2 linked regions of the Lytechinus pictus genome follow. The protein of the gene in region 1 interacts with the protein of each later gene in a pairwise test. Links are inferred from orthologs where the notes say so. Each region holds a gene or a part of one and is shown in the gene's direction. Other genes may lie near its edges. The genes, in order: zinc finger protein GLIS3-like and suppressor of fused homolog.

What was found.
Region 2: the proteins of zinc finger protein GLIS3-like (region 1) and suppressor of fused homolog interact in binary tests that used the Homo sapiens proteins (3 or more experiments, as listed by UniProt). The link is inferred for Lytechinus pictus from reciprocal best matches to the Homo sapiens genes GLIS3 and SUFU.

The regions. Positions count from the first base shown.
Region 1 is NC_087255.1:18,582,523-18,599,824, forward strand, and holds the start of zinc finger protein GLIS3-like, read left to right. Parts: upstream 1-9,400; 5' UTR 9,401-9,428; coding exon 9,429-11,129; intron 11,130-17,302. UniProt on the Homo sapiens protein: Acts both as a repressor and an activator of transcription. Binds to the consensus sequence 5'-GACCACCCAC-3'.
Region 2 is NC_087256.1:13,528,867-13,546,305, reverse strand, and holds the start of suppressor of fused homolog, read left to right. Parts: upstream 1-10,144; 5' UTR 10,145-10,347; coding exon 10,348-10,493; intron 10,494-14,469; coding exon 14,470-14,604; intron 14,605-16,127; coding exon 16,128-16,267; intron 16,268-16,933; coding exon 16,934-17,076; intron 17,077-17,439. Other genes in the region: alpha-centractin, read right to left, coding at 240-354, 1,959-2,023, 9,601-9,645. UniProt on the Homo sapiens protein: Negative regulator in the hedgehog/smoothened signaling pathway. Down-regulates GLI1-mediated transactivation of target genes. Down-regulates GLI2-mediated transactivation of target genes. Part of a corepressor complex that acts on DNA-bound GLI1.

The DNA.
Region 1 (17,302 bases):
CACCATCTTACGTCTTCATGTTTAACCCCCTGAACACCATGTCTGCACAGTCATTACATTAACCTGAATCCATAGAACCAACCATGTAAAGAAGGGGTTAATAAAGCCTCTGATGTTTACCCCTTCTGTTATGTCATCCCTTTCTTACTCCATTGTGCTCTGTTGGAGCTGCATGTTGGGAGACAATGGGGGCAGGCGAAGTCCCACTTATTGATTAAATTGTAACCCCCTTCTTTTTTGATGCCATCTTAATCCTTTCTTCCAACTCCACCACCACTCATTACACCCTACCCTCCCCTTTCAGCTCAGCGACCCTCCCCTTTCAGCTCAGCGCATGGAAATCAATTGCGCCCTATTGTTCATTGTTGAGCACAGTCGGATTGAAATATTTTTCTAAGTAATTTCCTTGTTTGGTGTAATTTATAAGTGGTAATGTCTTCACAATGAACAAATTTCTTTCATTCTAATGTTCTTATAAACTGACATATAATTGTCTGAATTAGAGTAAGATTGACATTAAAATAGAGGTGTTAATGTTTATAAGGTAGATTTCGATGAGATTAAAGCCCCTCTTAAGTAAGTTTTGGTTAATCCCCCCACCCCCAGAATAAATTGCGTTGTCACAATGCCCTATGGATTTGTTCGCCCCCGTGTCCTAAAACTGTTATGGTCTTGGTGATAATGAAATACCAACATGTTTTAGCAGATGATTTTGGTTTGCGATTTGGGGATCGTGACCAAAGTAAAAAGGCTAAAAAGACAGATAGACATTATGACAACTTTCAAATCAAAGAGAAATTTGTTTTGTAAATGCATCTATTTCTTTATTTTGGTTTAGTGGCAAAAGAAATAATCAGTTTTAAATACTTCACTATAGGCTGCCCAACTGCAAAAGCTATCTTCCTTTAAGCTTATACGTTATTCAAATAATAGAATTGCTATTGTATTCATGATTCAGGTTTTTACTCTCGTGTGAAAACGATCTGCAAGAAAAGAGATTATCATTCACCAAATATAACTGGACTGAATGGCTTAAGCCAGTATTGACGGTATACATGGTGTCCTTGGGGAGGAGTATGTATTCAAGCAGTAAACACTTGAAGATCCTTGGCGTATTAATGTTTATTGGGCATCAATTTGTAAGTGTTCCATGCTTAATTGTTGAGCAGAAGGATATGACAGTAGCTTTTTAATCTTACAAGAAATAATGGGTACCTGCTCGACCGATTCTTCCCAAAGAAGAAATCAACCAGTTGAGCACTTGAAATGAATAAAGAGAGAGATACATTTCAGAACAAAAGGTGTCCTAGTGATTGAAAACGGTTTCTGTCATCTGAATCCCTTTCAGAGCACTGTATCCCAGGTTTCCCCCTTGAGAGCAAAACATACTCTGTATATCCAGATGAAGCAAATGTTCATCAGTGCGGTCATTTCTTGAGTTTGTAAAGATATTAGAAGTACATGTAAGCCCATCTAGCTTTCCAATACCGTCTGCTTCCACACTAGTAATGCCAGCCTTCCAGATTTCAAAGGTTCGCCAGACGTGCTGGTACTGCTTTGAATTGCCTCAAAGACCAACCAGGCCATCAGGACTTGCAGATTTTGGTGTTGATGGGTGATTCTTGATGATGTTTCTTAGGTGTCAAGGAATCTTCAAACCAATGCTTCTCTTCTGTTTGTCCAGTGGATCTGTGGATATCTCTGGATCACCTTGAAGAATTTGGAAGAAGACCCCTCTGGTGTTTCCCTTGAGCTTGGATCTTGTTCCTTTGGTCATCCAGAAGAATTCATGCTTCAATCAAATTTTGATCTATGAATCAATTGAAGATCTAAGAAGCAAAAATAAGAAAGCATCTGGCGGTATGGCTTCATCCTTTATTTGGGATCTTGGTTGAAAGGGGATGGATTTCATGGTGAACCGCATCAACATGATAATTTCACAATTTGGGTGACAGGTTTTCACCACTACTGCACTCTTAATCAGTGAAACATGGAGTCTCTGCCTTCAGTGCAGATAGATAGTAAGTTAACATTGTACACTATAAAATGACCAATTGTTTTACTAAAAAAAAGTAAGATAAATAAAACTCAAGAATGCAAGTACTAGTGCTAAGAAAAGTATTTTTTATCTATTTTGAACTTGGAAATATATTTTACCTGAAGTAGAAAAATGTCAGTCTGATTTGAGAAACCCATGCTTATCCTGCCAAGTGCTGAGAAATTGTTCATATCAGAATCATTTGGCACATGATATTAATTTATCCAGACTATAAATACAATCATTTGGTCATCATTTCATTCTTGTGATTTGTGTCACAACTCTAACTCATCTATTGTACTGTTTAAATAAATATAGAATAAATTCTACTGTCAGCTTGGGGGAAGTGTCTTGAATCCAAAACTTTTTTTTCCAGAAAACTTTCCTAATTACTACAAGAATTCTTTTAAGGCAACTCTATCGATCCATCTTTTGTGTTGTTAGGATTTTCCGCTTCATCACATTGCACTTTTACTAGACTATATCAAAGCTCTCACAAAAAGAATAGAATGCCGAAAAGAAAAGAATGCCAAAATGAAAAGAAACTATTTAGGGAAAGGGAAACGTTTGATCATCAGTAAGATGTGAACACAAGTCCACACAAGGAACAAACTTGTCAGAATATGTAAGCATGATGAAATACATGAGGAGTTGTTAAAAGGATGACACCACATTTGCTTCGGCAACAATGCTCCGGATTTTATTTCGTCTAAGATATAGGGTTAGGGTTGTAATAGGGTTTTATGATAGGTTTAGGATAAGGTATATATTGTTAATTCTGGGGTTGAAGTTGGTCATTCGATTAATGTGTGGAAGTTGCAGTGGAGCAATTGCCACCGGAGCCTTTGTCATGAAACCACTGTAGGCCTATATGTTTCATTTCTCTTTCACATTGATGTATCGCTATACAAGTTAGAGCTTATCTGTTTTATTCATATGACACCCATGTTTATCATGATCTTTCAAATGTCAAGTTATTTGTTCTTTTCATCCACCTCTTTTACACCTTTGTCTCATCTGTTTTATCTTTTTACTGGTTTAGTGGTCTGTGTTCAAGGTCTTGGTGTCTCAATTTCACGGCCAATCAGGTTGTCTCTCCCAGTGTCCATAAAACTTGAAACTTTTTTATTCGTAACTTGCCCTGAATGGCATCAAAACTCCTGGATTGTTTATTTGGCGAGCGTCTCGCCCAACTCTATTCATGCCCCAGTTGTGCTGCTCTGAACATAAAACATGACCTAGATTATAATTCATTTTTGTTCATCAATCGTGGATTGAGTTTTATTAGATTGCTAATGACAATCAGACATTCATGTTCATTTTACAACATCTCTGTATGTTTAATGATTTCATGCACTAGTAACGTTTTTGCAATGGTTGTCATGGATACTCTATATACAAATAAAGATGACATCATATTTGGTGAGTTTTGTAGTTTATAGGCCTTACACTGTTCTTGTTGTGTAGATGTTCTTTGGTTAACCCATTGGACACTGAGCCTGCATATATGCAAGCTGAAGTCAATGGAAAACATGTGCTATAGTGAAATCAATCAGTCTCCAGTGGGTTAAACATTATTTCTCATCAGGTCCCTCAGAGAGGAGCAGAGCCTATCAGTCCTGTTGTTGCTTAAACTTTCAGGCATTTATGATCTGGTGTTACCAAAATTTCCGATGATGTTAATGGTTTTGATGTTAGGAAACAAGCATTGATGCATAAAGTAGTCTGGATCATGCATAAGGATTTCTTATAAGGATTTCTTTTCATCTGAGTACTTTCTTTTAGCAAGTGAAGACAGCCATTTAATACAGTTTTATGTTAATTTTTACCCACCCCCCCCCCCCAAAAAAAAAGAGAGAGAGAGAGAGAGAGAAATTAGGGAAATCTTGGGCAATGGGGGCAGGTCATGGACTTCAGTAAGTGTGAATTGGAAAGTGTCTGATCAGGATTTTTTACTTTATTTTTAGAATGCCCCCCCCCCTCTCTTCATAAGATAGTTGTAAAAGCAAGGATTTCTATTATTTGACTTCTAAGAGTGATAGTTTTTAGAATTTTGAGAAATTTGCCATATTCAGTCCCTTAAGGAGCTTCTTTTGGGGAGTGACTTATTGAAGGTTTTGGCTTCCTCACCTGAAGGACTTCCAACCACCTCAAGATGGGATGAGTGTTTTCAGGTGTGACAACTTTATTTGTTCACAATCTTAAAAGGACAGCTTTAGGGGTATTAAGAAAGCCAGAGAGGATTAGAGTTTGTGGTTCTTAATCCGTTAGCATAACTGTTAACAGTTAGAAAATTGGATCTACCTGTCAATGTCGGAAGAAATTTTGGCTATTTTCGGGTGTGATCCATTGAAACCACTTTTCATTGGTAAATTCTTAGATCTGAACAATTAGAAAAATACAAAACAAAACATGTGCACATGTTGGTATTAATACGTTTTCATTTATTTGATGCAAGATAAAAGAGCGCTGTAGATAAAAATGCCTTGGGCAATTGCCAGCCGGGAATTGAACCCTGGACTTCATGGTGTAGTTGGGTGCCTTAGGCCACATGGCCACGCACCTTGCCAGATCTGTTTTGTTTGTTTTTTTGTTAAATGCAACTTGGAATTTTCATTAAAAAAACAATAATTATATGATTGTCCCTTCAATTTGTTGATCTGATTCAAACAATTTATGTAGTTAAGTTTTATTGACATTCTGCTAAAGTGTAGGCCTATTTGTTTGTTTTTAAAGAAACAGATAACATTCTAATTTCAATGTTTTGGAGATAATCTATTATAGATTATCAAGCAATTTGAATATTTCTGAATGGATTAAAATGATTAAAAGTGATGGTTTTGTTTAAATATTTCATCCATATGAAATATATTTTAAGACCAAATGAAATAATATTTATGTTAACAGTTTATGTGGGGGAATGTTGGCTTTGTAACTTGAAGAGATTAGAACTCATATATGTAGTTGTGATATCCCCTTTCTCCCTGATAAAAAATGTTTTCCTTTTGGAAAGAAACCCCCATGATCAGATTCTTGGCCTCATCATGAAGTTCACCCCCAAGTGCCTTTGCTGATTGAGCTATTTCAAATTTAAAGGGGAAGTTCACCCTTATATCAAGTACGTTTTTATAAAAGCAGAAAAATGTAAGAAACGGGTAACGATAATGCACTGCAAAAACTCCGGTGTTGATTTAACACCAGCCCGGAATCTATATATGTCCACACCAGAGAAGTGTTAAACAACACCAGTTTCGTTTTGGTCTAACACCAGAAAGGTGTTTATACAACACCAATTAGTATTAAAACAGCATCGGTTTGATTCCGAACTGGTGTTTTTTCAATACTTCTCTGGTGTGGACATATAGATTCCAGGCTGGTGTAAAATCAACACAGAAGTTTTTGCAGTGTGGATATATAAATCCATCGGAGAATAACAAAATGATTTTAAGATTTTTGAAGTTTTAGTTTGATGTCACATCCAAGCTGCTCCTCCATTATGTCATGTGTTCAAAATTCCATGAATTGTTTTTTTTTTTCAAGTAAAATAAATAAAAAATATGTTTCTGCTGTTGGTCTAGATTTGAGACATGCGACTGACATTGCTCTGATTTACTTGTTTGTTTCATAGTTGTATTACAACAGATATGAGGTAAAGCGTGTGGAAACTAGTTCCTATAGTAATAATGAATTGATAAAATAAGCCATTCTAAAGATGGGTTTAATAGGGAGATGGCTAGTTGTACATTTTTTCAGATTTTTAAAAATCTTCAAAGGTCTTTTCTTTCCCTTGTATTCTTTATGTGCTTGGGCCTCCCTTCCCATAGGTTCTGTAAAGATGGAACTCTATTGAACTGTTTGCTATGTCAGCTTTCCAGCTTGTTGACACTATGTTGAAACCAAGCTTAGGTGATGCTATTCCTGCCTCACAAAATACAGATAAATAAACCAAAAATGAGATGGTAGCAAGTCGAAAAAGTTGTATTCTTATCTTGATTTAGATCTGCGCTCTATGGTGGTTTATTTATTGTATGAGAGTAGCTTTAAGATCAATATCCATATTCTCTTGGGAGTGGAGTTGTGAATGATTGATAAATGTCATGCTGCTTATAGCCAGGTATGGCTCGATCCATCCCCACTCCCTGCTGTGTAACGAAAAAAGATCGTCAGCCTTTTGTCAGCCATCCTTATCTCTTAGTGTGTATCTGATGCGACTTATCGATTGTTTTTAATGATGACTTAAACGATCCCTGAAAGCATGCTATATTGACCTCTGTAAGCTTGCATTGATGATCTGGAATTATGAAAGAATGTTTAGTTGTGAAGTTAGTAAATATTGATTCCATCTCTATTCAACAAGTAGTTACAAGTCGAAAGCACCATGAACTACATGTATAAAGTAACTGCAAGTTGGCTTTGATCTGTATGAGGGCCTATATGCCAGACCACAACTCCCTGGTTAGACATAAGGTGGTTTCAGACTGCCTGAAAGTTTGTCAGTTCCAGGTATTCTCTGATCGGGAAATTACCCGATCAGAAAATACCAGGTATTTTGGTAATGTGAAAGTAAACTACGCGTAATTTCCCCGAAAGAAAATACCCGCTAAATAGTAGGTACTTGGGGAAATTACGAGAACTTTCGCGGGGATTTTTCCAAGGTCGCAGGTATTTTGGCAATGTGAAAGCAATTTACGGGAACTTTTAGCCCAGCGTGTCATTGGGCGCGGGCGCCGTGGGTGGCTGCTGGGCTAGTGGTTTTGAATCTCGCGCCTTACTTGCTTATTAGACCATACTGCGCATGCTCCTAACTTCAGGAATTTATCCCGAAGGGTATGTTTCGGGGCGGTGTGAATGCAGGAATAATAAATGGGTATTTTTTAGCCTAGACATGTTCTCGTAATTTAATGGGGATTCTTGTGATCAAGGTGGTTTGAAACCACCTACTGTAGTCATTTGGCCGTATACAGACCCCAATGAAGTTCAGTTAGCTGTTGGATTTAAAATGAGATAGCTAAATACTTTACTCCAGAAAATGATTTTTTTCCTAGTTATAACTCTATGATCTATCTACAATTTTATATTGTCGAAATTATGTTCTACATACTTAGAATGTTTCTTTCCAATTAGTGATTCAAGTTATACATGTAGTACATTTTCCCATCGTACAAGGTGTGTCACGATAAACATAATCATTATCCGGTGTTTGCAAAATATAGAAGAAAATATGATTTGAGATTATGTAGCATATTTTTTTAGAGAAAGCACATATGCACAAAACAGGGGCATGCACCTTGGAGAGATTTATTTTTTCCCCTAAGCATTGCCTGAATTTAGAATGTTGGAAAAATGGAGAGATATGAAAATTGAGATGAGAGAAGATATTTCAAAGATTTAACAATATGTAAAGAGAAGAACAAAGTACAAATTGGATGGGGTTGATAATTTGTTATCAAGTTGTCAAAATTTGGCAGTACATTCAACAAAAATAGTCATTCACTGTTAAAATGAATTATACATTTAAAGTTTATTGGAGCTTTAAACATGCAGCATTAAAACAATTTTAAGGCTGTAATATTAAACTTGATTGGAAAATTTTTACACCAGTTATTCCTTTTCCCGTGACTGAGGAAGCCACATTGACTTTGAGCTTTGAAATGTGAAGAGAATTTTGTGGTGATACTGTAGTCAATGGGCAGAATGTACAGGAAAGGGTCTTTTCACTAAAAAGCACCTGCCATCCACCTTTTTTTCTAATTATTTTTTTCTCCTCTGACCTTATTTCTTCTTCTTCATATTCTTTCCCTTCTTTATTTTCCTTTTCTCTCCTGTGTTTGACAACATTTTCACTGCCCCCCCACCCTTCCCGCCGTCTGGATTATTTTTTTCAAGAATTCGCACTGGTCAAAATGTTTATTACACTTATCTAAATGGTGACACAAAATTTGCTCCTGCGACAATTGCTCCTGTCTTAATATCTCAGAAGGCATAGGGTTAGAGTTAGGATTGTAGTAGAGCTTTTGGTTTAGAATGATGTAAAGATTAATACCCCTTTCATAAACCCAATAAAACCCAATTATGCGGCTAATAGCAGCATAATTTGGTCGTAAAATCAGAGGAGGACAAAAGTTATCCGCATTATTCTGATGCTGCTATTATCCGCATAATAGCGGCATCGGGACAAGATTTTGCGTTTATGAACGTATTTCCAAATAATGCGGATAATTGCCATGGTGCGGTCACAAGGTCACCCTTTTCCAACACAACCGCATCGGAGGGGGTGTGTCCAGTTGTCATGACGATTATTCGCCTTTTTGAGGACGGGCGCTCGTAAAAATAATGCGGATAATTTTCGGAGTTTGTGAACGCAATTTTTATTGAATTATCTGCATTACTCTTAGGCGGCTAATTGGAGGATAGGTTTTATTGGGTTTATGAAAGGGGTATAAGATTAGGGTTTATCTAGTTTTGGAGGTTAGGTTTCATGTTTTGCTTAATGTGCAGATTTTCAAACAGAGCAATTGTCACAGGAGCAAAAATGTCATGGAACCTTTTAAAAAAGGACTGAAGTATAGGCCTACATGCAAATTGTATGGATGGGAGGATAACTGACTTTCCTTGCCCATGAGGTGGGGTGGGGGTGTACAGATACCAGTTCACCCCCCCCCTCCTAAGAACCTTTCTATTCTTCAAGATACATGCAAGAGAGATAAATGGTGTATGCATCATTCAGAATTCAGCACTATGGATATTTGTTTGATATAATACTATCCTGTCTAAATGGGAAATAAAATGTGCTAAGAGGGAGTGAATAGAACTTTATTCTTCTTAAAAAATGTATTACTTTGAAGTATATCACTTTCTTCTGACATTATATTGAAATGGATTGTAATATGCTATTTGATGACTTAATAATAATAATACTTACATTTATGTAGTGCTTAATACTTTGTTTCTATTGAGCCCTTTAATACATTGTAATTATTTTTACCCTGGAAACTAAGCATTTAATAATCACTTTTAAACCAAATAATGAATTTTAATAATAAATTTGAAACCGAATTTGCCATGGCATCAATAATCATTGTGTATTGTTGAGATATGAATATCATACTTGTGAATGAAGTCCTTTATGAAATGCTCACATACCTTTACCATTATACAAAGCATTTCTTGATCTTTGATCTTGATATCATCAGATCCGGATTGATAGGACAATTCATAATTGTATTGACTCTCAGATAAGACACTCTTATAAACATTTGAGAATCATGTAGACTCTTGGTGTGGACTTTGCTCAGAAATATGATGTATGTCAGAAGTATTTTGGGTGTTGATTCTAATATGTTCTTCTCTTCGACTGCCTTTTTATGTTGCAGATGGACGATATGGCGGTATGGAAGTGGTCATCACCAATGCTAATGATGCCCAGTCGATGCCCAGCCCAGCTGTACCAGGTACCACCCTCAGACAGAACCGCTTCCGCCAGCCAGGAAACCACCAGAACCAGCAGCAGGGCTTCAACAATACAACTCATCACCGGCAGGGCACGTCTGAGAGGAGCATGTCACCAACGGCGAGTGATATCTCCAGTATCCGCTTTACACCTCGGAATCCTGGGCAGGAAGGAGGACACCATCCCCCTACCAGCGCATCCAGTGACAGACACCATCTCCTTGACGTGAAGCAGGAATGGGGCAGCAATCGTCAAGGACATAGTGGTGGGCCAGGATCTCAGGCAGGAAGTGACGTTGCTGACCAGACTCTGATGCCACCAGGTTCAGCCATGTCTCATTACGCCAGCAGCTTCAACTCCCTCTCCCCATTCCCCATTGAAATCTCACCATCAGGTTCCAGTTTTGCAAGTCCTAGACATTCTGCGAGGTCGTACTCTGCCTGGGGTTCGAGGAAGCGGGCACTGTCTCTGTCTCCCCTTTCCGCTGAAGGCATAGATCTGAACTCTTTAATCCGTACTAGTCCAACATCCCTGGTGGCTTATATCAACAGTTCAAGAGGGTCATCTGCTTCAATATCACCGTTCCAGGTTTTTCCGGGAGGCGATTATGGTCACCTGTCTGCTCGCAATAGCAGCAGTCCCATGTCACAGGTATCTTCATTTGGGATCATCCAAGTGTCTGCAGCTGGATCTGTGAATGGAGACAAGATGCCTCCTCCTTATCAACAGCCAAAGCAGGTGCCACAGCATTATGCAGCCACAGACCCACAGATCGTGACGCAGCAGATGCAAGCCATGGAAAGCACAAATACCATGACCAATGGAACAGGGATGAACAGTCAATTGATTGTGCAGCCACAGGAGGAAGCTCTACAAGAATTTTCAAACAACTTCCCCCAATACCAGGTGTACAAACAGGAGCCTATCGAGCAAGGCTTCAACCAAACCTCAGGCTTTTCGCAAGGGCAGGAATATCCTCAGGGACAGTTCCAACCCAGTGCGGAACAACCTCACCAAGTGCCGCCCCAGCACCCGCACCCACCACAAGCCTTGCCTCAGCATTCCCCTCACGCACCGCAGACCCACCCCCAGCAAAGTCCATCCTTCTCTCAAAACCAACCCTACTCCACTTCTCAGACATACCAACAGAACCCCACCTTCACCCAGCCTTCCACCTACCCACCCAACAACTATCCTCCCATTCAGGGCAACTACAATCCTCCAGTCCCTGGTCAGTATGCATCGGCACCAGGACACCTCCCAACCATGACCACCCACCCACTCCCGGCCAACATGCCCCCTCCTCCACCTTACCATGCCCAGCACTATGAGTCCAGTGCCAACCACTCGCCCCCCATCATCAACACCAACCCCCACGGTTCCCCCATCTCCACTTCCACCCCCAAACTCGGCTTGGAGGTTGAGGAGAAGATATGCAGGTGGATCGACTGCAATGCATTCTTTGAGGAGCAAGAAGAACTTGTCAGGCACATAGAGAAGGTGCATATCGACCAGAGGAAAGGGGAAGATTTCACTTGCTTCTGGCAGGGATGCACGAGACGCTTCAAGCCTTTCAACGCTCGCTATAAGCTTCTCATTCATATGCGTGTACATTCAGGAGAAAAACCAAATAAATGCACAGTGAGTAGACACTTCAACTAATTAACCTTGTCTTTACATGAAATTGATATCTTATATACTGATTACAAGTCTTCACATGGCACAATACTGTATATTTTACTCTCTCCAAAAATAAGATATTATTTAGATTAGAATTTTTTTTTATTTCTCAAATTTGATTAGCATTTCTGGTTTTAATTATAAAGGTGTCAACTATGTTCCGTGTAGTCCTACATATAGAAATTGCTTCATGAGGGAAGTTTTCATAGTGGTCATTAAAAATGTGGAGCACATTGCGATGTAATACACAGGTATCTATTTGAGCATATAAGTATATAGTCTGTGATAAGGTTCATCTTTATTCAGAATATTGATTCATTGAGGAAGCCATCTTCTTAATCAATTTTTATTCCACCTGTCACAGTGTTAAAGGAATAATTCTGCCTCCAAAAAGGTTAATTATTTGTTATAAAGCAGCAGAAATTGTTATACTTTGCTTCTATAAGCTTTGTTTCTTAAAACAAAATACTCAAAAGGAGGATGAATTCAAATAGGAAAGAAATATGATTTCTAAACAATCATACTTTCATTGTAATTTTGGGAAAAATAATAACACTTCTCTCGATATATGTGCCATTTTAAGGACAAACATCCAAATGAAAAAAAAAAAGTTAGAACACCTTACCAAATGAAACATCTTTTAATGTTTTGCATGAAGATGGGCCAGGTAACTTTTGAAATAAGAAATTGTGTTCTTTTTTTAAATTGGTTTCATTCTTTAAAGAGGAACCATTTAGAAAATACAAACAACCTGTACTGACTGCACAGAAACGTTGTTAGCGCTAACAATGCGCTAACAGAGACACTAATACAGCCGGTAATGTGGCAGCGATGCCTAATGTTGCAACAATGCATTACTTACACATTGAAATAAATGTTTTGTCTTCAAAACCCGAAAGATGTGACTGGGCTAACTGTTAGGCTAACAACATTTTTTTGTGTGGCTGGCACTGTTCTTGTGGTTTCATTAATGTTTCAAATTAAATTTTGCCCAAGTATTTCTGATGGTTGAGATACAAAATCGATGCAACAATCACTAAGTCAGTAGATACGATTACCGAGTAAACTTTTCTCTTCACTCATAATAAGTGGACGACTTTACAGGGCTTTTCTGCGGAAATCATAAAATTCAGCTGATCTTAATATCTGTGCACCCTCTCCCCAGGGTCCTTACCTTCTTGCACCATCTGTTGAATTGCTCAGATGTGACAGAAATAGAAATTCCTGAAAAGATGAAAACTCTTTTAATTCTTTCTCGAATCTGAGCTGTCTTGTCCTTCCATTCATTCACTGCTTGTCAGTTTATCACCTTGCCATAAATCGACTGCCCTTTTTTGGCGCCAGTGCCCGATGCCTCGCTAGTTTGCAATTTGCAATTTCCCCTGCTCTGCTAAAAAAAAAACATATATGTATCTCAAAGAGAACTACTGTTAGGACCACAAATACAAGTTCAATTCGTGAAAATTAATGTTGATATGTTATAATCTCAATTTTTCTGTTCCATGCAGATTTCCTTTAATATAGTGAAATAGATGTCTTGCAAATGCTATCTATATCAATAAAATGATGTTATTTCTCCTTTATGGAGATCAAATAAAGTGAGTTAAAAGGTCCTTACAACAGCTAGAAAACAATAAAATAAAGCAATACATTTGAGTTAGATATGATTTTTCAGTACAGGGCTCTATAACATAGAGCCTAATGATATGTTGTGAGGCTATTTTTATGATTGATTGCTTCGAGTGATAAATCATAAAACCTGCCCCATGATCCATTGCGAAGCTTTCTGCGACTGGGTCTGTCTTTGAATTATTTAAACCATGGTCGTTGTCCTGATGGAGTTCAATGGTTAGAAGCTTTAGATCCGTGACTTTGACCTTTGCCCTCTCATTCTGAAACTGGGTCAGCGCTAGACCAGTCCTTGTGTGATGTCATCAGGTTTTAGACCTTGACCCTGAGTCCGCCAAGCTCGCACCTGTCCAAAACTCTTCGATCATGACAGTCTTTCTCCAGCATCTGTACAGACACAGAATGTGTGTGACAAGCCACTCCAAAACCAACAATAAGTTGCCAGGGAATATTCTCTGTAAATAGCCAAAATAGTGATTTGGTCTCCAAAAAGTAAATTTTGAAATACACTTACATGAAAGGGTAACTCTTCATCTTCATAATGTCAAAATTTGAAGATGTAAAATTGAATAATTGGCGAGATACAGGAGTTTTTCTTGACTACTTGAAAGTTTCACAGTGAATGCACCTTATGCAAATATAACCCCAAACTTCAAACCTTGTTTTCTCCCTATTTGTTGAAGATCTCACTAAATTTCTTCTACATTCAATCAAGAACTTGTATGGGTTGATCAATGTGCCAAGTTATATATTGTTTTTGAGCTCAGGATGTCCTCATTTTAGCTCAATGAAAAAATAAAAAAATACTTTGGGTGACTTCATGTCCCATTTATGTGGCCTTATTTCCCCAGCCATTCAGCCACAAGTTTTACACACACACATCAAACATGACAGATACAATGGCATACATTTACGTAGGCCTGCGTGATCCTTGGGTCTTTTGCTAGATCATAGATGATGTACTCAAACTGGGCTACTGAACTTGGCTTTTCAGTCCACACCCATTGCACCCCTCCTCCAGGTATGCAAAAAATAATAAAGCATCTGGAACTGGAAGAAGAAGAAGATGGCGGTGGTAATGAAAAAATGACTTCTGGGTGAAGAGAGATGAGCAAGGACACACGGGATTGAAAGTGTGAAGACAAATAAAGATGTTGTCTTGTCTTATCAGATGTCTCTTACCTTGACCTTGCGACCTGTGACCCCTGACCCGAGATGTCACATTCAGATTATGTTCTTCTCTTGTGCATCTCCCATACTCCTCCTCATCCTTATCCTACCGGTAGGGAGTTAGGGGTGCGCTCATGGGACTTGGGAGGTTGTCTCGAATCAAGCTTCTTGAAACTGTGAAGAGAATAGCGGCATCCGGAATCCTCCCATGCATGCCATAAAAAATGTTTGAATAACATTTATTTTTCTTTTTTGGTATGTCAAGGACAATCTAATCTCATCTACAAATGCAAAGACTACCATACTGCAAAAGCTGTCATACTGTATTAATTTTTCATCTTCCATTTGGCTAGGAAGCTAGTACACATTTACAAGAGTAAATAAAAAAAAATTGTTTTTTAATAGGTCTTATGTTAATTTGTTGAAATAGGCTATTATATGTAGTATCTGCATTGAAGGTTGTCATTTAATGGTGATAACAGTAATATGCAACATTTAGTCTATGGGGCCTCTTGTACTTAGTTTAATTTTTCTAATCACGTTCATTTCATTTTAAATTCATTCTCACAATGCAATGAAATTGACAGGAAAAGAACATGAAACATAATTCATATTTAGATGTAAAACAGATCAATATATCTTATTCTGACTGAAATGAAAATGATACAGATATAACAAGAAATATAGAAATGGAGACAAACAAAATATAAAAGAAATGGTAATATCCAATTGTACAGATCAATATGCACGTAACACATTTCTCGAAATTCCAATGAATCAGCATACATGTACCAAATATCGTCTGAGTCGCTTGGTCTTTATTCATCATATTTACACAAAAATTTCAAAACAAAAACATTGATAAATTACCTAACTTGTTTCACTGGTCCTCTTGCAACCTATGTTGGACTTACCTTAATTCCTCTGCAATACGACCTTACCCTTAACTGAGAATAAAATGTGACTTTGCTGACACATGTATTTAAATCATGAATCACTCCAGATTTTGCCACAGGTTCAAGTCAACTACATCACTTGGCAAAGAGGAAAGAAATTCCCCAAGGGTGCAAATATTTTTGTCTGATGAAAGCAACATATATTTCTCCCTTCTGCATTTGTTGGTCTTTTTTTTAAGGGATGGGGAGCCTAGGGAGCTAGAAAGGTTATTCAGAGGTGTGAGTTTTTCTTGCAGTTTCATAACTTTTACAAATGTTTAGAGAGAAAAAGAGTCAAGATTGGGTCATATTTTATTATGAGTGCACCAAGAGTTGGGGTGTGAATTTATAGAGTATGTTTGACCCGAAGCAGACAGACGAGCCTGGCGTTAGCACTGGGAGGAGAATTGAGTGTTTTTCCCCCAAGAGGTCGTTTATTTGCTGATTTGATTTGCTGATTTATGTTGCATTAACATCAATTATTTAAAGACTTGAAGGTAGAATGTGACATTTTAAAATACATGTTGAAAGACATAGATTATGGAAAATGGGGATATCTTTGGCTGTTATCACATCAACTACTTTAAAATGGTGTCTGATGTGTGCCTTTTTCCAGTGTTTTCATGAATTGTTGCAATTTTATTTGATAATGAATTGCAAGAATGTGCATTAATTTTACCATATCACTTATCAGACATAATATTTCATAAACCTGTGAAAAAATAAATATATGTCAGGGGAAAACAAATGATATTTAAAAAAAAAATTTGGTGGCTAATTTTCACAACTTACTGCCTGAATCTGCTACAGTGGATAAGCTTAACAGTGAATGGGGATTTGACAGGACTTTTTTCAATTTCCAGGGGGGTGTTTCACACAGATTTAAGTATGACTTGGAGTTGCACTTAAATGCCGACGTGCACATGATATCTAATGCGCAATCAGATTGATGGATAGGCGGTAGTGCGCGTCCCATGCGCATAATCTGACCAATGTAGTGATGTCTTCTATACCGTACGCAACTGGGAATTTAAGTGCGACTCTAAGTCACACTTAAATTTTTGTGCAACACCCCCCAGGTCTCTTTGGGCAATATCACCCCTAGCCCCTGTGTAATTTTGTCCCTGATACATGTATGCTTAATCATCAAGCACGAACCATTAAAAATGAAAATTTATGCTGATAATATCCGCATAATTTGGTCGTAAAATCGGAGCAGGACCAGAGTTATCCGCATTATTTTGATGCTGCAATTATCCGCATAATAGCGACATCGGGACCAGATTTTGACTTTATGAAAGCATTTCCAAATTAATGCGGATAATTGCCATGGTGCGGTCACAGGTCACTCTTTTCCAACACAACCCCATCGGAGGGGGTGTGTGCAGTTGCCATGACAATTATCCGCCTTTTTCAGGTCGGGCGCTCGTAAAAAATAGTGCAGATTATTTTTGGAGTTTGTGAATGCAATTTTTATCGAATTATCCGCATTACTCTTAGGTGGATAATTGGAGGATGGGTTTATGAAAGGGGTAATAGCAGGAGCTGTTTACATGTGATATCACAAAGTTTTTAAAAAAATATTAGAAATTCATAACTCTTTATATTTTTGAGGAGTTTCACTTCAATTCATTGATATGTTCCACTTCCTGATAAAACCAACCTGAAAAAAACCAATCATGGTCGACTTCCTCCTTAAAAACCAAAAAAGTCCAAAGATGTATTATCTATGGAAAGCTGATTGTTAACGTAATATTTCACATTAGATGTTTGATTTTCTGCTTTTTACACATTTAAAATATAATTAAACCTGTATGATCTTTAAACAACACATTTTCATCTTAATGAAAAGGAGGGTTTTTTCATAACAATTTTTTTATTAAAAACAAACCAAGAAAACCTCGGCAATAATCAGATGCAAACAATCAAAGTCGTGATAAGGCATCACTTCCAATTCTCCTTACGAGCAGGATGCATTCCATATTCCTCTTAAAATGACTGGGATATCCCTGAATATTTGATTTCTCTGCGGTCTCTTAATCACTTTTAAGTAGAATTTGTAGCGCATGATTGGGGGCTTGGATCGGGAACAGTGGGGACCCCTCTTCGGATTTGGCCACAAAAGTTCACCCCTGTCATGTTCAATTTGAAGAAAATGAGTGGCAAAAATGCAATTCCACTGATTTATACCCATCGTTATGCAGACCTGCCAACCAGTACGTTTTAGCCGTATTTAGTACATTTTTTTTTTTTTTAAAACTAAATCGTAATTTATTGAGAAAAATAATCTCTATATGTCTCTATTTCATAAAACGTGCACAAATATGGTTATTAGATCAATGTAATTTCAGGTAACTTGTTTTTTTTTTCAATCATTTTGTTCAAACCAGGGTGAAGATA
Region 2 (17,439 bases), on another chromosome or scaffold:
ACAACACAGCATCAACATTGAAACATCTGATTGAACATTCTAAATATTTCAATATAATTTAATATAATTCTATGGTTTTTGTTTTTTGGTTGTTAATGACTTGCATAACTTTGATTTTAATCACTTATAAAAGAACACTCTTGTGTAATTACTACCCGTGGGCCAATCAAATTCTTTTTTAAGAGTCATACTCATAAATCTGAACAAAGCTTTGATTAACAGATATGTTTTCTACATACCTCCATGGGGTATTTGATACTAAGAAGACCTCGATGTTCCTCCGCCTTTGGACCGATGAATATATCGCCCTCTAGGGCACCTGCCATGACACGTACATGCTTTGGTCGACCAACACTTCAAAAATAAAACAGAACTTATAACATTATTTAATCAGTAGTACATGTATGGTTTCGGCTGAGCTGGTGACAAAGGGGAACATAGCAATGACAGGACACTATATAGCTAGGTGAGTTTCACTGCAAATAAGTGCAATGGGGACGAAGACCCCATTTAAATGATATATCATTTAGTAGAAATTTGAGATTAATTCATGGCACTTTTTAGTTCCCTCAGTTTAATAAAACAGTGATAAGGGAGCTGAGGGAGGCAACTATGTTATTGCAATTTATGTTCATTTGTAACTTTATTGCAAAAAGACGAAGGGGAATAGAGCAATGATGTCTATCGCTTTTCTTGGTCCATTCTGCATATATTGTTTACAACCATCTCCTTTAACCCTAAATAGATTGGGCTATTTCGACGCCTAAGGAGACGGGGGGGGGGGGGGCTGAATCATACCCCCCTTATGATCTCGGCCATCGATCGTGCGATCATGACGAAATTGGCATGCCCATTACCCATGGCATAATCAACAAATATATTGGACCAAATTCTGCAAAAAAATATCTTTACTAATTAATTATGCTAATTGTGAGAGTTTCACTGCAAATAAGTGCAATGGAGACGAAGACCCCATTTAAATGATAAATCCCTTAGTAGAAATTTGATATTCCAGTCTGATGGTCAAGGTACCTGCTAGTGTCAAACCCTCCCTTAAATACAATAATTGAAACAAAACGCGAACGCAAAAGAGAAAATCAATAGATGACACGTTGACAACAAGATGGCAAAAATAATCACTCCAGTCTCCAATCTCATCCTTTTTATTAAAAACATGTTTCAGATTACTTTTTGCAATGGAAAAATAGTCAATCCTCCCCTTAACAGCTGGAATAGGGCGGGGGGGGGGGGGTTGAGGGTGAAATCAATTAAATGTACATCACATTCGCATTACTTTCTTTAAGACTAGTGAACTGTAAAGAGTACAAAATGACTGAAAGAGTAAACAGTCATGACTCATTGTCACATGGTATAATGCATGGACCTTTATTGACATTTCAAACAAATGATGAGCAAGCTCAATGCTCTTTAGTCTTTAGTATTTCAATGTATCACTTGACTGGATACAGTTTATAATCATTTGAAGCCAAAGCTTTATTACCAAAAAGTTGAATTATCACTATGAAAAGGTGTCAAAAATTCCCAGACACTTATATTTGTAGACAAAAATCTTGAATAGAACGTGACATTATATTACGAACAAGGCACGTTTCAATGTAATCGAAACCAATGCTCAGTCTGAAAATAATTAACTTTCACTTATTTTCTGAACAATTGAATTCACACACTATATCCCATACCTTTGAAATCTAATGTAACTGCATTCTTCAAATTTACCTGACATCCATTTGCATATAAATTCCAATGACTCTATTTATAATTTTCAGGCTGAGAATGACATTTGATTACCTTGCAACATGTTCTGTTTACTAAAAATTAATGTTCAATTCATTATTTTTCTCTTCAAGCTCATCATCTCACTGTTTTGGTATAGATTTGCATGTGATGAGAATTTCGTATTCTTATTTACACTTTAAAAGTTATAATTAGTTACTCACAAGTTTGGAAAGTGATATTTTGGAATTTGGTCACCAGCGAATCCCGCCTTGATAACGCCAGAGCCCTGCAATCAGAAGAAAAATATTGAAATACAAATATGACAATAAGGATTGTAATTATTGTATGTTGTGTTACAGTTTCAGTACTGAATAATGAATTAAGTACGGTATACACTCATGAATGGGAGTAAGTATGCAGTCATGAATGAGAGTTTTAACAGAAAATGGAATGATAAATATGCGCGATTTAGGTAATAAAAAACAAACAAACGAATGCTACCAAGCAAGATCAAGAAAGATTCATGAGCAATCACCAATGCCAGCGCAGCTAGCTTAGAGAAGTGAAGCCAGATTCCTTGGAGCAGAAGGCCGTGCTGATGACCTGAATGAAGCCAAGCCGACAAGTGCCAGCACAATTATCCCATATGAACGCAAATCGTACTTGGACTTTGGTACTCGTACTTGTGTGAATTGAAAATGGACAATCCAGAAACAAATGGGAAAACTTGAAATGCCAGACTTCTTTTTTTAGCATCCTTTAAAAAAAAAAGGGAAGAAAAAAAAATTACTGCCCTTCTTGTACATATGTGACGTTTATTTGGCGGTGCGTGCAGTGACAATTTATTCAACCTAAAGAGCGCCATGAACATCACGTGCACACTGCATTGTATAAAAAATGCACAGAGTCGAGTGATGTTCTGACAGGTACTACCCACATGTACCAACTCTCAACTCTCAGCAAAACTTTTCCAGCAAGGAACAGTTAATTTCACAAGGAATCTCCCGGTGCATGAAAGCAAACAAATTTGCCCTTGATGAGGTAGTGAGGTCTGAACGTGCAGAAGACCAGCTCAAGCAAAGGTCTTTTTTGGAAGACTGTCTGCATGTGAAGTAAACACGACTGCTCAAGGACATGATGAAGTGTCTGACATGCGAAAGATCCTGAAGGTATTGTTGAGGACGACATGCATCACATGGCTTTGAAGTTCTTATTTCAAAAAATTCTAATTTTAAAAAGGTAGAAAGATAGTTACCTACAATGATACCTCAATGATTCATTAAAAGAGGACATTTTATTTTAAGATGCCAGCAAAGTTTAAGAAGCAATTTTTAAATGATGACAGCTTTCATTATATATCCTTTATACAAAGCAGTAAGACCTTTTTTCTTTGAAAATCATAATTAAAGGAATGAAATTGATAAATTACAAAACAATAATAATATGTTACTGTCCAATTTTGCATTGTGTACTTTCACAGGTACGGACTGCAGGCTGAAGAAGAAGACTAGCAAGCTGACCATGGGGTGGAGCTCTCTTGGCATTTCTAGGTCTGGGTCCTGTTGCATAAAAGTTACTAGTTACTATCATGGTTACTTTACCATCCAATGGTATCTACCATGGTAACAATGCTAATCAGCCAATCAAAATCAAGGACTCAAAGAAAGTTGCCATTGGATGGCAAGGTTACCATGATACATGTAGTAGCTTTTATGTATTAAAGGGGGCCCTGCCCGGGGGGGGGGGGGGGCACTCACATATTGGCGGTACGGGGATGTGCCGCTTTGATGGCCCCTTTTTCAGACCTAATTTTCAGTTCTCTAGATACTCCGAATGACAAAAGTTTCGCAAGACCCCCGTTACGAAACATCTCAGTTCCCTAGCCCTGCCAAAATTGTCCAGCACGAGCACCGCATGGGAGAGCTGTATGCATGGCTTCACAACTTCCTCCGCTAAAAGCTCTATGCACCGCTTGTGCACGTATACATAGCACTAGTATGCACCTTACCTACTGTACTGCGATCCCGTTCTGTAGACCGTTTTTCACACCGATCGGTATATATCTAGATCCCAAGATGGCCGTATTTTACCTTTGTGGTCAGTTCATTAGACCCCCATTTCTGGGTTTTGTGAGGCACGCCCCTATCAAAATATAATTTGAGTGCCCCCCCCCCCCTGAAGGCCCTGAATCTTAGACAGTCAGAGTCATCAGATTCAGAAACAGTATCTTGAAAAAGGTACATGTACTACAATATGTTCCCTTTTTTAAGTAGTAAGTTATATACCGGTATCTTAATCTTTGCTGAAAAGGTTGAATATATACCTTTAAGAGTTTTGAGGTGAAGCTTTATCATATTGATCAATGTTGCAAAATTAATCTATATCTTAAGGAAAATATTCTTAGTCTGGAAATGTTCTTGAGACACATCAGCATGACCATAGAATCTAAAAATGGTCATAGATGCAGAGCTATGAATCTTAAATGTGAATTTTTTTAGCCTGAAATCCTAGTTTTGTTTTATTGGAAAAACATACCAAAAAAATCATCATTTTTTAATACATGTTTCAAAAATCCTATTTTGAGGGGAATAATCCTATTTAGTGTCACTTTCCCCTTAAAAATACAAAAAAAAGGATAAAATCCTACTAATTGGCAGCTCTGATGGTTGCTAGCATGTCTCTAAACTTATAATGAGTTTCTGGTTGAAAGTTTAGTTGAAACATTAATGTGTTGCAAAATTATCATCTTAGAAATTTTATCTTCTGAAAATTAGGTCCTACATGTATTTATATCATATGAGTCACACTTTTTCTTGAAGCACCAAAGCATGAAATTAAGATAAAATTAGTAGAAACATTCAATATTCCGATATTCATCTATAAATTATGTAATAAATTCTTAATCGTAAATATGACAAGAAGTTATGACATGAAGCACATTAGATGCCCCAGTATGAAACTGAACCGATTCTGTCAACATTTCAGATTTTCGGTACATGCACAGCTGCAAGTTTTAATGTAGACTTTGACCTATCACATCACATCACGTACAGAAAAAGAAGGAGTTCTAGTGTACTATTTTCAGTTCTTCGCTTCAGGTATTGATACTTTATCTAAGTTAGACAGTTTGAACTGTTGTCACTTTATGTCTTTCCTTTGTCTGCATGTAGACCTACATATCTGCTAGGTTAGTAATAGTATAGTAGTGGATTGTATATTACTATTATTACCTAACACATATCAAGAATTCCATTATATTAAACACAATTATAAAAAATAGATCCATTCTCATACAATTCATCAAACTATCACCATAAATACACAAACAGGCGCGTATCCAGGAGGGGGCCGACCCGGCCCCCCTATTTTTTTGGCAACCTGCAGAAAAAAGTGTACTCTTTAATTTGAGAGAAACGATGAAAAACAGAAAGAAAAGTAAGAGGTATTATACCCATGATGTGTAATTTACAGCCTCGTAACAGCCGGCCCAACCCCGAAAGGAAACAAGAAAAAGGTGAGGGGAAGAATTGGAAAATAGACTTTACATAAAAAAAATTTGCTCGCGCTTCGCGCTCGCATTAATTGCCTGTGTAATGAATGTCATTCAAGAGGATTAAATGACACTTAATATATCCAGTTCTGAAATCAATTTGCACACAATATTTTAGCTCGCATATCCAGCTTTCATTATTTTGTTTGATTTACACAAATTGTTAATATTTACCAACATTTTCAGCTCGCACTGCGCGCTTGCATTGTTTTATTTGTGAGATACCTATCCTCTTTGGAAATTCTTACCAAAATTTCTCAAAATGCCCCTTTATCATGTGAGTATATAAAAAATTTAAGCTCGTGCTTCGCGCTCGCATTTGTTTGAGACACACAGCTTGTTCTAAATAAAAACGTGTTTAGACTGTCCAGTTTTCAGGTCGGAATATCAAACATTTTGAGCTCGCGCTCCGCACTCTCATTATTTAATTGGTGATACTTGTATCCTCTTAATTAATCACTAAAAACAGTCGACCCTAACTGAGTCCCTTATCACGTTACTATATTAAAATTTTGCATTGATAAGTTGGATACTTACCTTTGTTCATAATTATAAAAACTGCTCAGAATCTTCAGGTCTAAGGACATAATATATTTGAGCTCGCGCTTCGTGCTCGCATTATATACTAAGACCAAATGAAATACCTTATCTAGTTTATAACAATAAAAGCTAAAACTTCAGTCTTTAGTTAGGACTACCCCCTAAAAAAACAAAAAACAACAGATTTATAGTGGGGTTAGTGGCCAATCGAGAAAATTGATATTCAATACTGCCATTTCATGGTCTTTTTTTCTTTATTCTACAAAGAAATAATTTATATTCTTTGAAAAATAAAGTTAAAGAATGAAGCAACCATTTTTTAAATACAAGAATTAGTAATATATCTTTTGATCTTTCATAGATTTTCAGTGAAATTAGCTAACCAAAAATGCTATCAAATTCACTTTGCCAATTTTTTTTTTTAGCCTCCCAATATTGGGGGTGTGGTTAATACATGGCCACGGTTTATATTCCGAAAAATACGGTACCTACAAAACTATTATGTAAAAACGTCCGTAACGTTGGCGAAGAACAATAAGAAACAAGATGGCGGTGTTAACATCGGGCAAGTCTCCCGTCTTTTCATATTTTTCTCATTTTTTTATTCTCTTTTATAATAAAATCGATAGCATAGAAATGTCTGAAATGAAGTTGTATCCCATTTACATGATTTAGGGCCCTATATCTTTTATAAGTAGAAAGTTTCAGGTTTTTTGGCGGTACAAACAGATGAATGGGATGGAATCCCTGGCTCCGTAGAGAGTAAGCATACGTTAGTAAAGATTTTTACTCTCTAGGAGCCTCCTGGCTAGTGACAGGTCCTTGACCCTGATCATGCTGATGACACAGACACGTTAATCCTTTTATTCTTTATTTGATTTTTGGCTTTACGTTATAAGTTTTGCTCTAGAAAATGTAGTCTAATTTATTTTTCATCAAAATAGTCTTACGAGACACAACCCAAATTCTGCTTGAGTGCTGTACAATATGGCTCACTGCCTTAATCAGCTTTGATTGTACAACGCTGATTGTACAACGATTGTACGAGGCTGAATGTCAAACATTCGTACCGTTGCACACAAGAAGTACCATCCAAAATGTAACGTTGCAAGGCTGTACTAGGTGATGTCACAATCACGACAATATGATTTAATTCATTGTGCTCAGTAAAAATGAAGATGCAATACGCGTTTAAGCCTGCTGGCTAAATGCGCAATGCTGCCCAAGGGCAAGGTCATGTGGGATTTTGCTTTTCGCTTTCAATATTTTTGCTCCCTTTTCATTGATTACTGCAGGGAAAAACTCTGTTTTTTCTTATTTTCGCTAAATTCTGAGGCGTTGTACAACACAAATAAAGAATATTCTTATTTGCGCAATGGTGCGAGATTTCGCATTTAGCGAAAGAAAGAGGCCCTCTATTCAACTCGGCTAACGCCTCGTTGAATAGAGCATCTTTCTTTTTCACCTCATGCAAAATCTCGCACCATCGCGCTCATGTCTCATCATGGCCACTCACACTAGTACGAGGTTAGTATTTGTATACTGTTAAGCAAGGCTCGACATTAGCGGTGGCCCGGGGCCACCAGAAATTCACTTCGGGCAACCATTATTGATAAAATGTTAAGTTTTGGTGGCCCGAATCGGGCAACCAATAATTTTCAAAGTAGCGTAATTTTTCTCCCGATTTTGCACGCATTTATCAACATTCTACAGTTCAAATTGCAAGCCAGTTCGTCATGCGCCCTTTTTGTTGATCTACACACAAATACACACACTCAAAGTTTGCATATTAGGCCTACAGCTATAGCATACAGTAGCTATTATCCAGCCAGCCGCGCCGGCCAGCTGGCGTGAGTTTGCATGAAGCCACTGCATACAGCTGTGCTCTAGATCTAGCTCAGCCTATTCAGACTCTGGGAGCTGCGATAAAAAATGCTGCTGCTAAGAAATCTTCCACAGAACTTTGAAAATCTAAGTCAAAGTCACATTTTACACCAATGAAATGACATTCTACAGTCTATATTACGAAAATTTGGTGTACCCTGATTATTTGCAAGCATTAAGAAGAGGAATTATGACCTCTCTTTTGACTACAAAAGACCGATTTCCAAATGAATTAATACACATAAAAACACATAGGCAAGTACATCACAGTCCCACATGTGCATTTGTATGTATGTTGATAATTGGTTTCTTTCGAAGCTGTGTCTTTTCTAGCCAAACATGAACAGACAGTTTCTTTCTTTCTTGTTTATAAATGACTTCTTAAACCACTCTTGAGAAAGTAAATACTTTGGGAAGGCATTTCATCGATATGAAATGTGAATTTTTCCAACATTTTGGCAAATATAGGGAAGGACTTTTCCCACAGTCACACTTTTTTTCCAGATATAACTTTTGCCGTTTTCTTATTTTTTTTCTTTCATTTTTTTTACAGTGGTTAAACCATTTATACCCCTTCCCATTGAATATGCCTAATAAAAAAATATGTTTCTACTGAAAATTAAATAATACAAACTAAAGGATATAAAAATAGAAATGTGCCATTCCCAGAAGGTACAGTAAGTGAAAATTATTTGCTTGGCTTTTAATTATATTCCAGTCAGAATAGACTGTTGCCACAGCTGTTAAAAAAACATTCGTAATGGCTTCTTAATTTTCCCCTTTTCCCCATGTTTATATCAATTTTGTTTAATTCATTTTTCTTTCATTTTCTTTTCTTTTTTTTCTCTCTAATTTTTTTTTTCCCTGTTCTTTGTTTTTTCTTTCTTCATTTTCTTTCTTTTGTTTTATTTCACTTATTTCTTTTATTATTTTTGTTTTCTTTTTGTAATATACTTTTTGAAAATTATTTTCATTTGTTTCCCCCTTTTATGCATTGTTCTAATTTTGCAGCATATTTTTCTGTGATTTTCTCCTGCTATAATATGCTGCAAAAGAAAAAACAGAAATAAACTGGATTTGGGGCCTGCATAATCTAGATTTCAGGATTCAAAGAGGAAGAAATGAAAAACCATTGTTTTGTACATCTATCTGAGTTTGCTATGCATTATTTATTTACTTTACCATTATGAGTGTGTGTCTATATGGAGATTAAAAAAAAGTCCACACAACCTGTGAACAATAAAATTCATTTATTCTCTTTCAATCATTTCATTTTTACAACGATAGAAACAATTTATATTTTACCACAAACCAATTAGCAAAGTAAAATAACAGCAAACAAGGTTTACATACAATACAAGATGATAAAGTGAAAGTAACTTAGTGGTAGTGGCTGCAGAATTAATATTTCAGAAGTTTGTTTTATTAATTTTTAATGTTTTTCTTTATATTTTTCGGGCCACCAAACTTTAATATCGGGCCACCAAAAAAAATTATTTGATGGTTTTGGTGGCCCGAACGGGCCACCACCAAAAAAAGTTAATGTGGAGCCTTGTGTTAAGGGTTTAGTAATTCACAGTCATTAAACATTTATAGGTAGACCAACTACACGTAAATCACTCGATCTGTATCTCTCAAATTCAGTGATACACATTAAAGACATGCATACTGCACAGACACAGCCAGGTGTCAGTGGATTGCAGTCTCTCAGCTCAGTCACACATTCATACGCACAACCGCCCGGTCAACAATACCGGTATGTCACCGACTCGGCTCAGCTCAGCTCAGCGAGCAAAGAAGTCGCAGAATACAAAACTTAACATTTTATCATAATCTACATGGTACATTGTAGTAGCTTAATGAAAATCTTGTCGACGAATCAAACTTACATTATCAATAACGACTGGTTGATTTGCAATAACATCATAAGACATATTTAGGGATGTATCTCACACGCCCAACTCAGCCAGGAAAACGATCAATTAAACATCACAGATGGAACTGAATAATGACTAAAGTTAGCTCTTAATATGGGCGCAAATGTTATTTTAGCTGAGGTGCTATTTTATTATATTATTATTTATCATAGATTTGTAGATTAACTATCTATTTATACTTTTAAGAAAATTCAATTAAAACTGAACATTCAACAACTTAGGAAAAACGACAAATTTAAGTTGATTGCTAACAATGAAATGTTTTATTTTTCCCCTTCTTTGAAAGCCTACAAACTATGGGGCTGTTACATGTATGGTTTTACTGCGATATACCTTAATTCTTTTACATAATATTCCTTCAAATATGCTCAAAATTTTAGTGAATCTACTTTTTTCGATCTAATGTTTAATATAAATTGAATTTCGCCCAAAGACAACAAAATATTTGCATCTTTTCTTAATTTATTATTTTTTTCTCAAAAATTATAAAGGGAGTTTAGATATACATTTCAACAGCCAAATACCTTAAACGGGATCTCTCAATCCCACGCTTAAAATTGTTATAAAATCACTAAAAATCAACAGGATTAGACTTTGAACTCGGAACATCCGTTTCAAGAGAAATTTTGGAAATCTCAAGTCACTTTTGATGAACATCTGATGCTTTGTTAACGTATTAATTTATATCTCTTTTCTTAAATGGAGCAGCAGCAGAGCGGAGCGGAACACGGAACAGCACCTGTGCCTGCACTCCCGGCGGGGCTTGACGCTGTCTATTCGGCATGTCGGCGGCTGTATGTTGATCAACCAAATCCTTTGCAAGTGACCGCCGTCGTGAAATACTGGTAAAATAAATTTAAAAAAATCTTTCCCAAAATTTCCACTCTTTGAGTATTCAATCTATACTTTCGGCGGCCTTATCGTGAAATTTGTCACCTCTTGTCGTGTGTGTCGGTGTGTGTGCGATCGTTGTGTACAATTATTAATTAAGTCAATGACAATGGGAGTGGAAAGATGTCACCACCGCTGACGAAATAAACGGCAATGAATGGACTGGTGACATAAACCACGATAATGCCATACTTTCTTGAGAATGTAACAAACAAGTGTGGTGATATTAGCCGAGTCTGACTGAGAGCTGCGGGCCGGAGCCCGGGGGCCGATTGTACGAAAGGGTCTTTCCAAGGACCGTCTTTCGTGTCGCCCATCTTTTATGATGCGCTTTATGGGGAATATTTGTGAAACGTATGATTGACAAAAATTTGTTAGCTTGCATTTAAATCAATTTGTATCCGATTTCATGATATAGATCTAGATCTATCACATCATTTTATAATATAAACAAAGATTTTGTTTATACTTTAACAAATTAATAAAAATTTAAAATATGTTTGCAGGTAATTCATTTAAAATGCGTTTCACATGGTGCATCATAATAAATGGGCGACACGAAAGACGATTCTTGCAAAGACCCTTTCGTGCAATCGGGCTCCGGCCCGCAGCTCTCAGACTCGGCTAATATTAATCTTCTTTTTTTTAATGATCACCACACCTGAATTTAAAACCAACAGGTACACTACAAGTCACAATTTTTTGACTACCTGTTTCAACCAGAGAACAATACATTTGGTCCACTGAATCTATTGCTATCCGGTTGAAACAGGTAGTCGAAGAATTGTGACTGGTACTGTAGTTAGTCATATCTATTCTTATACCCCAACCATGGAGTTAGCTTCAGTCTTGCTAAAACCCATCTCACGAAATCAGAGACAGAGGTCCTTACATACGTCCCCTCCACTACAATTGGAAAAAAAAACGCGAATATAATAAAGAGTGTAGGATAGTTATTTTGTCATTTTCCTATTTTGTTTATTTCATGTTGTGTTTTCTTCAGCTGTTTTACATTTCTGTTCAGTCTAGACTCGAGTTCATTTGCATTTTTTTTCAGCACTGCTCTTGCTCTTGCAGTCTGAACTTATTATTTGGGTTTAATGATATTCAGTTGCCATTCATCATTCTAAAAAAGGGTTCTTAATCTTGACCAATATGTTTTCATGAATAATTGCACATAGGCCTATATGTATTCAGAAATCATGCCCAAAATCATTAAGTGTGAGTGACTGATTTTGAACCCCAAATGCGTTGACTCCTCTGGCAATACCCATGTTTCTTCCTGATGGATGGCAAACTCTTCCATAAATGAACGGCAACTGAATATCATTAAACTCAAATAACCTAAGTTCAGCCTGACACCAGTCATTTCGATGGCATGGGCTTGAATCCCACCGCTGCCACAAGTTGTAAGGTGTAAAATTATAAGTTCGGGGTAGAAATGATAGAAGTTCGAAGGAGCAAACACAAATTATCCAATCAATCAGCCAAAGGGAAAATAAGTGAAACTGTAGAAGACACAAATAAATCGAACAGAAACCAAAGAAGTCTGATAGTGCACTGATTTATTCTCTGGGCCACTTTGCCTCAGTTAAACTCAGAATGATAGTATAATTTACATAAATTTATATTTAAATTAGAAATAACAACCAATCAAACTAAAGATAATGGAAGGTTTGAACTTAAATGTAAGAACCTAATTCAAAAGATAAACCAATATGGAATGAGATGAAGATGATAAAGGATATCTGGGTGATTATGTAATAATGGAATTGGAGTCAGGTCAGGGATGGAATGAGTGGAACACCTGAATAGAGAATAGAGAAGGAATGAAGATGACAATTTAAGAAAATGAGAGGAAAGGAATTCATTGTGGAGAAGGATAAATGGCAACTGAATATCATTAAACTCAAATAATCTAAGTTCAGACTGCAAGGGCAGTGCTGAAAGGAAATGCAAATGAACTCTAGTCTAGACTCAACAGAAATGTAAAACAGCTGAAGAAAACACAAGTTAAATGAAATAAACAAAATAGGAAAATGCCAAATAACCATCCTACAAGAGTAAGGAAATAATTGATAAAAGAGATATATTGTAATTAAATTTCTATATGTACATGTTATGTAAATAATTTATATTGTCTGTTTTTAAATTGGATCAGCACACGTCACACCATTTATTTTTTGTTGGGGTCGTAAAATTCAGCTGCTTGATTGATATAGAAATTCATTGTTTTCATGTTCAGAGTCTCAGAATAATTTGACTAGGCTGGGTCATTACGATTATTTGAAATAATTTAGATATAAAAAAATGGGCGGGTACATTTTACCTTTTAAAAAAAATGTTTAAAAAGTTATATCACTGAAAACCCCTTTAAAATTGCAAAATATTCCCAAATAATTCATATCATACTGCTTTGAAATGAATTCAGAATTTATGTTTCAATAATAATTCATTCTGATAATTGAATGGAAAATGAAGTAAAATTATCTCAGATTTCTGTCCAAACAGACGGAAGATCACATTTTTAAGTCTTGATTGAACAGTTACCAAATTGAGCATGTGGGACAAAGTCACATGGTTTGGATGGTTTTACAAAAGCCTCCCCCACTTTTTGCAATAAATGTGTATAAAAACGTAAAAATAACCATCTGATTGTAATTTTCATGTGGTCAGCACCCCCACTTTGGGCTACCACCCCCCCCCCCACAACTTTCAAAACCGTTTAGCAGCCCGTTAAATTCCATGATGATTGACTGATTTTAGCATTGTTATGTCACAAAACAATATATTTATCTAACAATAATTTTGATTCAATGATACGATTGTTGCATGCATTAGAGTATAGGCTACTGTATTCAAGGTCTGGGCCCGTTTCTCAACACCTGGACAAGTTAGTCATATCTTTATCCACCAACCACGGAGTTAGTTCCAATCTTACTAAACCCGTTTCACGAAGGGCTTCCTAACTAGAATCCCTTGATATCGATACTATCGGTAGAAAGAGCAGACGAGACGTAGCCTTAGTCACAAAATAGCATAATTTTTGAAAAGCAAAAATGTGATAAAACTGCAATTATTGTGATTAATTTGGAAATACATCTAATAAAAATAATAGCAGAGGCAAAATATGAACCATGCATACTTAAACCATGAAGACTTGAGCATCTAATTGCTGAGAAAATCAAATTATGAATATATCATTTCATGACTAAAAATTCACATGGGGACAATGAGATGGGTATCCCCGGGATAGTAAATTTTGATAGTTTACGAAAGTAAACCACAATTGTTATCTTTGTAAAATAATGATAATTATACGTTTATTTATGGTTCCAAACATCATCAAAATATAGTTTAAATTATTTTTTTTAAATTTTTTTACATACCGAAACACACGATTTGACAAATTCTTTGTTTGAAAACGACGAATACGAGTCCAGTTATGGATGACCTGCCGTGGTAGAATCTTTATCGATTCAATTACTTTACTATTTTAAAATGAGTGGTTTTGCTGCGTTTTACCAACAGTTTTGATAGTTTCTGTGCATAGCAATTATTATTGAATGATCTATCACACCTGTTTTGCAATGTAATTTCAACTTCTATGAATGATTACGTAAGATTACAATTTTCAAATTTCGAGGCAATTTTGCATGTCATAGTCTACCCACGTGATGCCACTACGTCATTAAGAAAGAAGTTATGACAGGTTCGGAGGTGTCATAAATATTTAGTGAGGTTGTTGTACCCGATCTTGGTAAAGAGGGCTTCGTGAAACGGTTAGCGGACAAGTAGCTCACTATCTCCGATTTAGTCAAGAAGTTAGACTTATGACGGTGTTGAGAAACGGGCCCCTGTATACCAATGTAGTGAATCCAATAATCCTAACTGGTTGAATGATTAATTCTCTTTGATTGACTATTACAGGTTAAATGGACCAGACCCACTAGACTTTATCAGTATGTACAGTAACCCAGGAGAGCCTGGTCATGGGATCCCACCCCATTGGCACTATGTTAGCTTTGGCCTCTCGGATCTTTTTGGTGATGGCAGAGTTCATGAGTGAGTAGAACATTTCATTGATTTTTTTTCTTACACATTTTTGTCTCACCTGCATAGCAGAGTGAGACTATAGGCGCCGCTTTTCCGACGGCGACGGCGACGGCGGCGGCGACGGCGACGGCGGCGTCAACACCAAATCTTAACCTGAGGTTAAGTTTTTGAAATAACAGCATAACTTAGAAAGTATATGGACCTAGTTCATGAAACTTGGCCATAAGGTTAATCAAGTATTACTGAACATCCTGCCTGAGTTTCATGTCACATGACCAAGGTCAAAGGTCATTTAGGGTCAATGAACTTAGACCATGTTGGGGGAATCAACATCAAAATCTTAACCTAAGGTTAAGTTTTTGAAATGTCATCATAACTTAGAAAATATATGGACCTAGTTCATGAAACTTATACATAAGGTTAATCAAGTATCACTGAACATCCTGCATGAGTTTCACGTCACATGACCAAGGTCAAAGGTCATTTAGGGTCAATGAACTTTGGCCGAATTGGGGGTATCTGTTGAATTACCATCATAACTTTAAAAGTTTATGGATCTGATTCATGAAACTTGGACATAATAGTAATCAAGTATTACTGAACATCCTGTGCAAGTTTCAGGTCACATGATCAAGGTCAAAGGTCATTTAGGGTCAATGAACTTTGGCCAAATTGGGGTATTTGTTGAATTACAGCCATAAATTTGAAAGTGTGTTGGTCTAGTTCATAAAACTTGGACATAATAGTAATCAAGTATCACTGAACATCCTGTGCGAGTTTCAGGTCACATGATCAAGGTCAAAGGTCATGTAAGGTCAAAGAACTTTGGCCACGTTGGGGGTATTTGTTGAATTGCCATCATATCTCTATAAGTGTATTGGTCTAGTTCATAAAACGTGGAAATAAGAGTAACCAAGTATCACTGAACATCTTGTGCGAGTTATACTAGTTTTAAAAATCAGCACTGCTGCTATATTGAATCGCGTGATGCAGGTGAGACGGCCAGAGGCATTCCACTTGTTAACATCTAATAATCATGATGGTTTTGCATGTTTGAGCATAATGCAGTTCTAGAAGAAATAACAAATAAAGGGGCTATAAATAAAAAAAAAACATGAATGTTTGCATTGTTTAAATGTTATTTTATATAAGCTGTCCTGAGGCTATTTCATCAGAGTTGCCTGAATGGTAGAAGTCTCAATTTCTAAATACAATATCTAATGCATTTCTGAAGAAAAAAAATGGAGACCTGGACATTAGATTTGTTTCAAGTAATGCTTAGTATTTTATAATACAATGTCAGTCTTGGATAAGGATGTTTTCATTTTTGAAATAATAAGAATCAATAATACATGTTGAAAAAATACCGGTCAAAGACTAGATCAAATGACTTCTGATCAAACTTTACTTGACACTAAAGTACCAAGTTTAATCCATTTAGATGGAAAGATATGATGTATTACCTGATATGGCTGCTGTGATGATTTACATGTTAAAATCCCTATGTTTAACTCTCTCTTTTAAAAATAAAGAATACCTACAGGTCCCAATGGGCCAAGTGGTTTTGGCTTTGAATTAACGTTCAGGTTGAAGAAAGAGCCAACTGAAACAGCGCCCCCTACATGGCCGGCAGAGCTTATGCAAGGTCTAGCCAGATATGTCTTCCAGTCTGGTGAGATATAACATCTTTCTTATTCAATCCATTTTTTTCTTTTTTTTTAATCTTGTTTACTTATTAGAGTTTCTTATGAAAAAGAATCTCTGATATTTAATTTCAATATTTAGAAACTGATGATCACAAGTCAATCTTGAGTCCCTAAATCAATAATTTCTGTTATTTAATATGGAAACAGAAAGTATGAAGTGATTTGCTTTTAGTAAAATTCACCTCTTAACAGCAAATTTTGCATACTTGCTGTTGATTGTAATTCTTTTTTCTTTTTTTTTACAACACCCTCTTAAAAGTAAGTTATGTTCAAATCTGTGTTTAAGATATCTTCACCCTGATGTTTTCTGTACAATTATAAAATTTCATATATGTACATGTATATGCATATATTAAAAATGCTTACAAAATGTACGTCACTGGTTTTCCACGTAGCTGTGTATGCAATTTTCACTTTACTAATACTTTTATTGCGTAAAGTAACCTTAGAAAATATAAATTAACATTACAAATTCCTATCAATGACAGTGATATTTAAAAGAGGAATAACAAATGCATATCACACACCAGGGATATATTGATAAAGCATGTCTCGATGCAGTCCTAACAACATCACGGAATTGTGAATTTAATAGCACGCTTGTCCAACATGTACTTTTGTTTTCTCAACAGGCAATACTCTTTGTAATGGAGACCATGTTTCTTGGCATAGTCCTTTAGATAATAGTGAGTCTCGTATTCAGCATATGTTAATGTCAGATGATCCTCAATTACCTACTATCACAACACCACATGGAACTGTCAGCTTTGTTCAGGTAGGTCTTGAATATTGCACAGACATTTCTATGTAGAGTGATTAAGATAAAATAGAAATAAATCATATTATCATTATATAATGGGAAAATAGGCAGCTCCCATGTGATATCACAATAATCAAATGTTTAAACTTAATTCCTGTTATTCTTTGCTGGATTTTTGTTAATCCTATAATGTGTTTCTCCCATATTTCTTCTTTTCCCCTCAAAGGGGCATTGAACTCAAAACACAGTTTTAATCTCCTTCTTCTAGTCTTTCTCGTGTAAGCTTTAATCAAACAAATATTTAGTGTGAATTTGGTTTAAAAAGTATGTTGGTCATTTGATCTATAGTAAAAAAAGACAGGGATATCTGGAAGTATA